Linked DNA regions of Callithrix jacchus. The protein of the gene in region 1 purifies or fractionates together with the protein of each later gene. This does not show direct contact. Links are inferred from orthologs where the notes say so. Each region holds a gene or a part of one and is shown in the gene's direction. Other genes may lie near its edges. The genes, in order: TSSK6 and FKBP5.

The links.
Region 2: the proteins of TSSK6 (region 1) and FKBP5 purify together in Homo sapiens (affinity purification with mass spectrometry; 4 studies listed by BioGRID and IntAct, with this or other methods). This does not show direct contact. The link is inferred for Callithrix jacchus from reciprocal best matches to the Homo sapiens genes TSSK6 and FKBP5.

The regions. Positions count from the first base shown.
Region 1 is NC_133523.1:18,189,158-18,192,689, reverse strand, and holds TSSK6 (testis-specific serine/threonine-protein kinase 6), read left to right. Parts: upstream 1-1,518; 5' UTR 1,519-1,639; coding exon 1,640-2,461; 3' UTR 2,462-2,853; downstream 2,854-3,532. Other genes in the region: NDUFA13 (NADH dehydrogenase [ubiquinone] 1 alpha subcomplex subunit 13), read right to left, coding at 731-824. UniProt on the Homo sapiens protein: Serine/threonine-protein kinase component of the sperm flagellar doublet microtubules. May act as a regulator of sperm motility by mediating phosphorylation of sperm doublet microtubule proteins.
Region 2 is NC_133505.1:44,021,898-44,026,389, reverse strand, and holds the start of FKBP5 (peptidyl-prolyl cis-trans isomerase FKBP5), read left to right. Parts: upstream 1-1,444; 5' UTR 1,445-1,714; intron 1,715-4,492. UniProt on the Homo sapiens protein: Immunophilin protein with PPIase and co-chaperone activities. Component of unligated steroid receptors heterocomplexes through interaction with heat-shock protein 90 (HSP90).

The DNA.
Region 1 (3,532 bases):
CTCAGGAGGCTGAGGTGGGAGGATGGCTTGAGCCCAAGGGGCGGAGGTTGCCGAGATCACTCTAGCCCGGGCAACAGAACGATACCCTGTCTCAAAAAAAAAAAAAAAAAAAAAAAAAGTAACGTATGTATTCACCCTTAAATTATGTTTAAAGGTTTGTATTTGTCTGTTAAACCTGGGGACTGAGTATGGGCACCTTTTAAGTTCTCTTTTTCATTCTTCTGTGTTGAGCCCGATAACAAAATTTAACATGCTACCTAAAACATTTGAAAAGTTTAAGAATAAGGATTGCTGGGACACTTTGCAGGCGCGGGGCTGCCTGCAGGGAACCACCGCATCGAACTTCTTGTAAATTACCCCCAGGTTCCAGGTTGCGGCCTTAGCCTTGCCTTGGGGAGTCGCGGCCTCTTTTGGGCCTCAGTTTCCGCATCTGAGAAACCCAAGGGTGGCCGAGGGCCAGGGCGCAGGCTATGCCTCAGTTTAACCTACGGTAAAATGTAAATAATCAAAGGGACCAATCTCCTGGGCTGTTACGAGAAGGAGGCGGAGCTGGGAAAGCGCTCAACAAACTGCAGCAGTTACTGTTATTATTATAGAAGCTATGGGGGATCTCCGGACTCCGCCTCCGGTCACACCGCCGGGGAAACTGCGGCCCGCTTGTGTCCCCGGAACCCCGCCCCTGAGTCCCGAGTGCCCAGACTCTGAGACCCCGACGCAGAGAGATACTGACCTGACAGTCCTCGACGCGGCAAGTTCCGTTTGTAGTCGATGGGCCCATAGCCCCCCGCCGGGGGCATGTCCTGCTTCACCTTCGACGCCGCCATACTCACTGGATCCCGCACTTCCGGCTCCGGGCGGAAGTGACATGTGCCACCGCCATGATGAGTGTGGCGGAATCATTTGAGATCATCTTCCGCAGCGCTGGGAAGCCGCGGGGACTAGTGTAACTACTCGACCGCGCCTGAGAGCTCTGACTGCTGACCCTGGGTCCGAATGCGCAGCTAGGCTGCAGCTGAGGAGTCATTATTCCTTCTTTCCCCCAGACCGGGCGTGTCTCAGTCGCTAGGACCCCCTGGTTCTTGCATTAAAGGCCCTCGCGTTCACTTTGCTTCTGGGGTGTTGTGTAGGCCAGTCAGAAACTCGGAGCTCCCTAGAGCCAGGTGCCCCAGTTAAGGCCCCTTTTCCCGTTTTAGCCCTCGCTAGGGACTCTACCGGAAGCCCAGGGCTCGACGTAGTCACGGGCTGGGTACATGATGTTGGGGAACAGCTGCTGCTCGATTTCGGACTCAACCCAATCCCAGGAGCGGATTCTGCTCCCTGGTGGTGGTGGGTATCCCTCGCTAGTGGCCTCTCATCGGAAACTGACCATTCAGGGTAATTATGAGTCACAAAGCAGGGAGGCTAGGGTGGCCCCAGGGCGGGGTCCCGGACCCCAAGGCGGAGTGACGCCCGAGGCCACTTCACAAGGCAAAAATTGTTACGGGGCAATAAAAGGCGTAACAGCGGCCAAGGAGCGGCAGTGGGCACATGGGGGTGCGGGGATGCAGGTGCCAAGCGCCATGGGTTAGACCCGAGATTGGAGTCCGGCCGCCCCCCAACAGCAGCCGCCTCCTGCTCCGCGTGCGCCCCAGGCGCCACCATGTCGGGTGACAAACTCCTGAGCGAACTCGGTTATAAGCTGGGCCGCACAATTGGAGAGGGCAGCTACTCCAAGGTGAAGGTGGCCACGTCCAAGAAGTACAAGGGTACCGTGGCCATCAAGGTGGTGGACCGGCGGCGGGCGCCCCCGGACTTCGTCAACAAGTTCCTGCCGCGAGAGCTGTCCATCCTGCGGGGCGTGCGGCACCCTCACATCGTGCACGTCTTCGAGTTCATTGAGGTATGCAACGGGAAGCTGTACATTGTGATGGAAGCTGCCGCCACCGACCTACTGCAGGCCGTGCAGCGCAACGGGCACATCCCCGGAGTGCAGGCTCGTGACCTCTTCACGCAGATCGCCGGCGCCGTGCGCTACCTGCACGATCACCACCTGGTGCACCGCGACCTCAAGTGCGAAAACGTGCTGCTGAGCCCGGACGAGCGCCGCGTCAAGCTCACAGACTTCGGCTTTGGCCGCCAAGCTCACGGTTACCCAGACCTGAGCACCACCTACTGCGGCTCCGCCGCCTACGCGTCACCGGAGGTGCTCCTGGGTATCCCCTACGACCCCAAGAAATACGACGTGTGGAGCATGGGCGTCGTGCTCTACGTCATGGTCACCGGGTGCATGCCCTTCGACGACTCGGACATCGCCGGTCTGCCCCGGCGCCAGAAGCGCGGCGTGCTCTACCCCGAAGGCCTGGAGCTCTCCGAGCGCTGCAAGGCCCTGATCGCCGAGCTGCTGCAGTTCAGCCCGTCCGCCAGGCCCTCGGCAGGCCAGGTAGCGCGCAACTGCTGGCTACGCGCCGGGGACTCGGGCTAGAAGCCCAGGTTCCCGCAATTCCTGCAGCCGAGGATACTGAGCCAGCGCAGCGGACGCACGACAGGCGCGCTTGAGGGAACCCAAGCTGCCGCGCGTTACTGCGCATGAGCCTTCTCGCTTCCCCTTCCCTCCCCTCCCCTCCCTCCCACCCGCCACGCAGGCTGCAGTTGCCCGGGTTCGGACTCCAAGTCCTCCACGAACCGGAGAGCTGGAGGCGCATGCGCCTCCGTAATTCCTAGCCACCGGGCCCCGTGAGGGACGAGACCAGAGGGGACAGAAGCGTTGCGTCTGCGCGGAACGAGCTCAGGTTCTGAGCGGAGGGGGTCCCTTCCCCAACCAGCTGAGGGTACTCGGTTCCCGATTGGAACCTGCAATAAACTCGCTGTTCCTTGCACCTGACTCTAATGGTGGCACCCCATTTACGGACCAGTGGGGAAGGGGTTGCTCCGTCCGGGGAAGGCGGGCGCCGGGCGCGGGTCTCCTAATTTTAGTCAGGCATGTTGAGGTTCTTGCTCCAAGACCCAAAAGGGAGTCGGGAGGATTCGAACCTGGACCTTTTGGGCAAAAATCGAAGGACCTTTGTTGTCTCCGGGTCATGATGGTTCTGTGACGCTGGGCTGGGGAGCAAGTAGACCCCTCCGCCACCCATCCACATCTTTTTTTTTTTTTTTTTTTTTTTTTTTTGAGAGACAGTTTTTCTCTTGTTGCCCCAAGCTGGAGTGCAGCGGCACAATCTCGGCTCACTTGCAGCCTCCACCCCCCGGGTTCAAGCGATTCTCCTGCCTCAGCCTCCCGAGTAGCTGGGATTACAGGCATGCGCCACCACGCCCAGCTAATTTTGTATTTTTAGTAAAGACAGGTTTCTCCATGTTGGTTAGGCTGGTCTCGAACTCCCGACCTCCGGTGATCTACCCACCTCGGCCTCCCAAAGTGCTGGGATTACAGGTGTGAGCCACCGCACTGGGTCATTTTGTTTTGTTTTGTTTGATACAGGGTCTCTCTCTGTTGCCCAAGCTGGAGTGCAGTGGGGCAGTCGTGGAGCATTGCAGTCTCCACCTCCTGGGTTCAAGC
Region 2 (4,492 bases), on another chromosome or scaffold:
CTGAGGGTTTCAGGCACAGGAAACAGCACAGCACATGCAAAGGCCTCAAGGCATGAAGGAGCTTTGTGTTTTCTAGGTTTAGAAAAAAGGCTGGGTTCAAATACACTACTCTCCAGTAATCCTCGGCAAGGATTATTGTACCCATTTTTTAGAGATGGAAATTGAGACTTGTCAGGATGGTTAGTTTCTTGGTCAAAATCACAACTGGGAGTACAAATTTTGAATGTAAAGCCACTATTTTGGGGTTATTTTGGTGTTTGTATGTATATATACGTGTGTTTTTTTAAACAAAATCATCAAGTTCAGCAACCATGTGTCCTAAATTATCTAGGATGGTCAAATTTCTTTTTACTTTTTTTTTGAGACCAAGTCTCGCTCTGTCACCGAGGCCGGAGTGCAATGGTGCGATCTCAGCTCACTGCTTCCTCCTACGCCTCCTGGGTTTAAGCGATTCTCCTGTCACAGCCTCCCGAGTAGTTGGGATTACAGGCACCTACCACCACGCCCAGCTAATTTTTGTATTTTTAGTAGGGACAGGGTTTTGCCATGTTAGTCAAGCTGGTCTCCAACTCCTGACCTCAGGGGAATCTGCCCACCTCAGCCTCCCAAAGTGCTGGGATTACAGGCATGAGCCACCGTGCCTGGCCCAGATATCAAATTTCTAAAATTCTTTTTTTTTTTTTTTTCTGTTTTTGATAGAGTCTTGCTCTGTTGCCCAGGCTAGAGTACAGTGGCATGATTTCGGCTCACTGCAACCTCCACCTTCTGGGTTCAAGCAATTTTCCTGCCTCAGCCTCCCAAGTAGCTGAGAGTACAGGTGCCTGCCACCACACCTGGCTAATTTTTGTATTTTTAGTAGAGACAGGGTTTCAACATGTTGGCTATGCTGGTCTCGAACTCCTGACCTCAGGTGATCCACCCGCCTCGGCCTCCCAAAGTGCTGGGATTACAGGAAGGAGCCAGCATGCCTGGCCCTAAAATTCTTATTGTCTCCTGGACAGTCATCTTGGACATGCTCTGTGTTCTATATCATGACTTCAAGCCTTGTCTTTGTCAGGTACTGCCAGTGAGATCCTAGACTAGCACTTCACCACTTTAAGCCTCAGTTTCCTCCTTTATAAATAGGGAGGAATTGTAATCATTCCACTATCACAGGTTTGCTGGGAGGATTAAATGAGAACATCCACATCAGAGTCAGCACAGTGCCTGGAACGGGGTACCTGTGAAATGAATGGTGATTCTTCTTTATTGTTACCTTGGAAAATGGAGGCCAACTGCAGGATGATCCTGGCTCCAAGGAGCCGGGGACCCAAGACAAGCATACAGAAAGAGAGACCAACAATTGGAGGCCTCTGATGCATAAGACAGGCAGGGGAGTGGTGGGAGGAGAGAGCAAGACTGAGCAGCCAGGAGGGCCTCTTCCCTTCCCTTTACTCAGCCTCTCACTCCTCTGCTAGGATCCCATATTGACACATCTTGTACTTCCCGTTTCCAGGGAAATTCCTCGCTGCCGGACTGCACCCACCCCTGAGGACCTCCCAATATCTTTGGGCAGAGCAGAAGCCAGACAGAGACAAGGACTACCAAGCAACCATCTCCAGCCCCGTGTGTGCAAGGAGCCCTGAGGGGCAGGCGGCCACGCTGCAGAAGACTAGCCTCTCCAACCCCAGGGAGCCTGGCGTGGGCTGCAGGAACAGAACGCTTCTCAGAGGAGGTAGGGACCCCATGGAGTACGTGACGTGACGCCTGGCCCTCCAGCTGCATGCTCCAGTTAGCAGGACAGAGACCCCTCCCCACACATTCCCAGCCTTCCCTGGTTTCCTGCTCTGCTACTGGGAGGCCCTGTCACCACACATGCGCGTGCATGCGCTAACACATACACCCCTCCCAGGCACCCCCGGAAGACCAGCTGCAGCTGGGGGTGGGGGGGGGTGCACTGAGCACAGCCAGGGTTCTCAGATCCCTAGCCTGCTCTCCCACCCCACCCTAGCCCCCAATTGCCGAGCTGCTTCTAGGTTTAAAGCAAAACACGACTCTGTCCTTCCTGCTGCTCAGTGGCAGCAACACTGCCTGGAGTTATTTTTAGCAGGGATGCAGGGAAGGCACAGTTCTCCTTGACTTTAACTAGGGACAACCCCCACCCCCCAGCCAAGACTCACTGGAGGAGGCCAGTACGGAAACTCCCCTCCCAGAAAGGGGAAATGGTGTGTTTTCTGTTCCTTCAATTCACTAGAATGGGAATCGTGGTCAAGCCTGGTGTTGAACTGATGGGAAATTCTAGGTTCCAAAGCCCATGGGCTCTGCCCCATCCTTGGCCTCTATGTTTCCATGAATCCGGGAAGCGAGAGGCACATGGTGTCTGGAGTTGAGGTGCCCTGTCTGTGGGTGCTGGGGTCCCTGGGAAACTGCTTGGTTATATCCAAGCTCTGTGGATTACACAGGGGCACCAGGTATCGTGGGTGGTGTTTCACAGGCGCTGGCTAAATAATTCATTAAACTGAACATGTATGTTTCATGTACTTTTCCATATGTGTATCTTTTAGATGCTAGCAGTACTTTATGAGGTATAATCAACATACATTCCACATACAGTAAAATGCATAAATCTTAAGTGTACAGCTTGATGAATTTTGACAAATATATATGCCTATGTAACCATCACCTAGATCAAGATTTCAGACATTTTCACTACCTCCAAATGCCTTTGTGTCCCCTTCCAGTCAGTCTCCGCCCCAGAGGCAACTGATTCCGACTTCTACCACCATAGATCGTGTGTGTGTTTCACAAAGTTAAAGAAATACAGCTGCTGTCACGGAAGAGGGAAATGAGCAATAAAGTTCTTAACATGAAAGGAGGGGGCCTCAAAAAAAGGGGTTATTGCAACTGGAAAAATGAAGGTATCATTGGCCTGGGAAACAGGAGGTTTCAGAGCCAGCCCAACCCCTCAGGGTTGGGACCAGAAGGCTTGGGACACTTCTTGAAGCAGAGAAGCTGTGAGTGGGGAGGGAGCAAGGGGAGGGCCAGTCTTGGCTCAGGCCTAGCTGCCTCTGGGTCTGCTAGAGGTCCCTGCCCCTCCTCCAGGCCCTGACCACTGCACAGTTTCAGCAAGGCCAAGGCTGCAAGGAAAGGTTCTCTCAGGGGCATCCACCCAGAGGCAGAGTTTAGGGCCCCCATGTAGTTAAGTTATTTGTTTTCCTTGACTTCCTTTTCAAGGTCTGGGACTCCTGCATCCTTTGTCCTGCCTGGGGCGGGGAGAGGCTGAGGCTGTCAAAGCAGAGTGCTAAGGAAGAGTCATGATGCTTTTCATTCTTTCCTTCCTTTCTTCATTCAAAAACAGTTATTTGAGCACCCGTGTAGTGCTATAGATTCTGCCGGGTGCTGGGCATAGGAGAATAAGCCACATTTTAGCTTAGAGAGTCAGAGTTGGCATTTCTAGGTAGAAGCAAGGCCTTATACCTCCTTCATATTGGAGATGAGGGGCCCAGAGAGGGGAAGTGACTTATTAGAATCACACAGCTAGCTGCTGGCAGAGGAAGGCCAAGAACAAGGATCGATCCCTGATTGAGACTTAGCTGGGGATAAGAAAGCAAAGGAAACCAAACCAACAGCTGACTCCCTGGTGTGCTCTCCTGTAAGCTTTCTAGGGTAACAAAAAGCACTGACCTGGAGTGAGAGGACCTCAAGGCTACTGCTAGGTCTTAGAAACACTTCCTCTCTCTGGGCCTCAGCTTTATTCCATGAACATGCAGGAGGCAGCTTCTGGAGCACACCCTCCATTTTCCCGCCTCTGTGCCTTTGCTCGGGTTGTTTCTGCCGCCTAGAATGCCCCCTTTCCCCTCCTACTTCCTTCCTCTGACATTCTCCTAATCATTTATGACCTAATTCAAATGCTGTCCCCAGAGGCCCCGCAGTCCTTGGGCATCTGGAGAGTGGTGTCACCCAGGTCCCCACTACCAGAACAGACAGAGCCTCCTCCATTTTGCAATCCTCCCATCCTAGGGCACAGCTTTCCTTGGATATGGGGTCTGTTTTGTCAGCCACTGTTGGAGGAATTGAAGGGATTTCTTAGTCCCACCCTACACTTCCACATGCCCCCTTAGCTTTCAGAGACTGATGTCGTCCTTCCACTGGGCCTTGAAGACATTGTGCTTTCTGCTGGCCATGCCAGCCCAGGCCAGAGCATCAAACCTGGGCACTTCTGGCCAAGGTGGCTGCCCTGGGAGGTGACCCCAGGAAGGATGAGAAGGCGGGGCCTCAGCCAGAAGCATGGCTGCCCCACCTCAGTCATCCAGTCATCATTCACAAACACCCCGGCAGAAATCCTCCCTCACAACAGACACGTGGCTCCTGCTCCCACAACCATATCCAAACCCACTCCTACCTACCTGCCCACAGCAGCAAGTTTGCAAAGATGTACCCCACTGCTCCCACAGCTCCCCTGCCCCTCCCCTGGGTGGGCATTGCCATGAGTGCACATTCATCTCACATACAC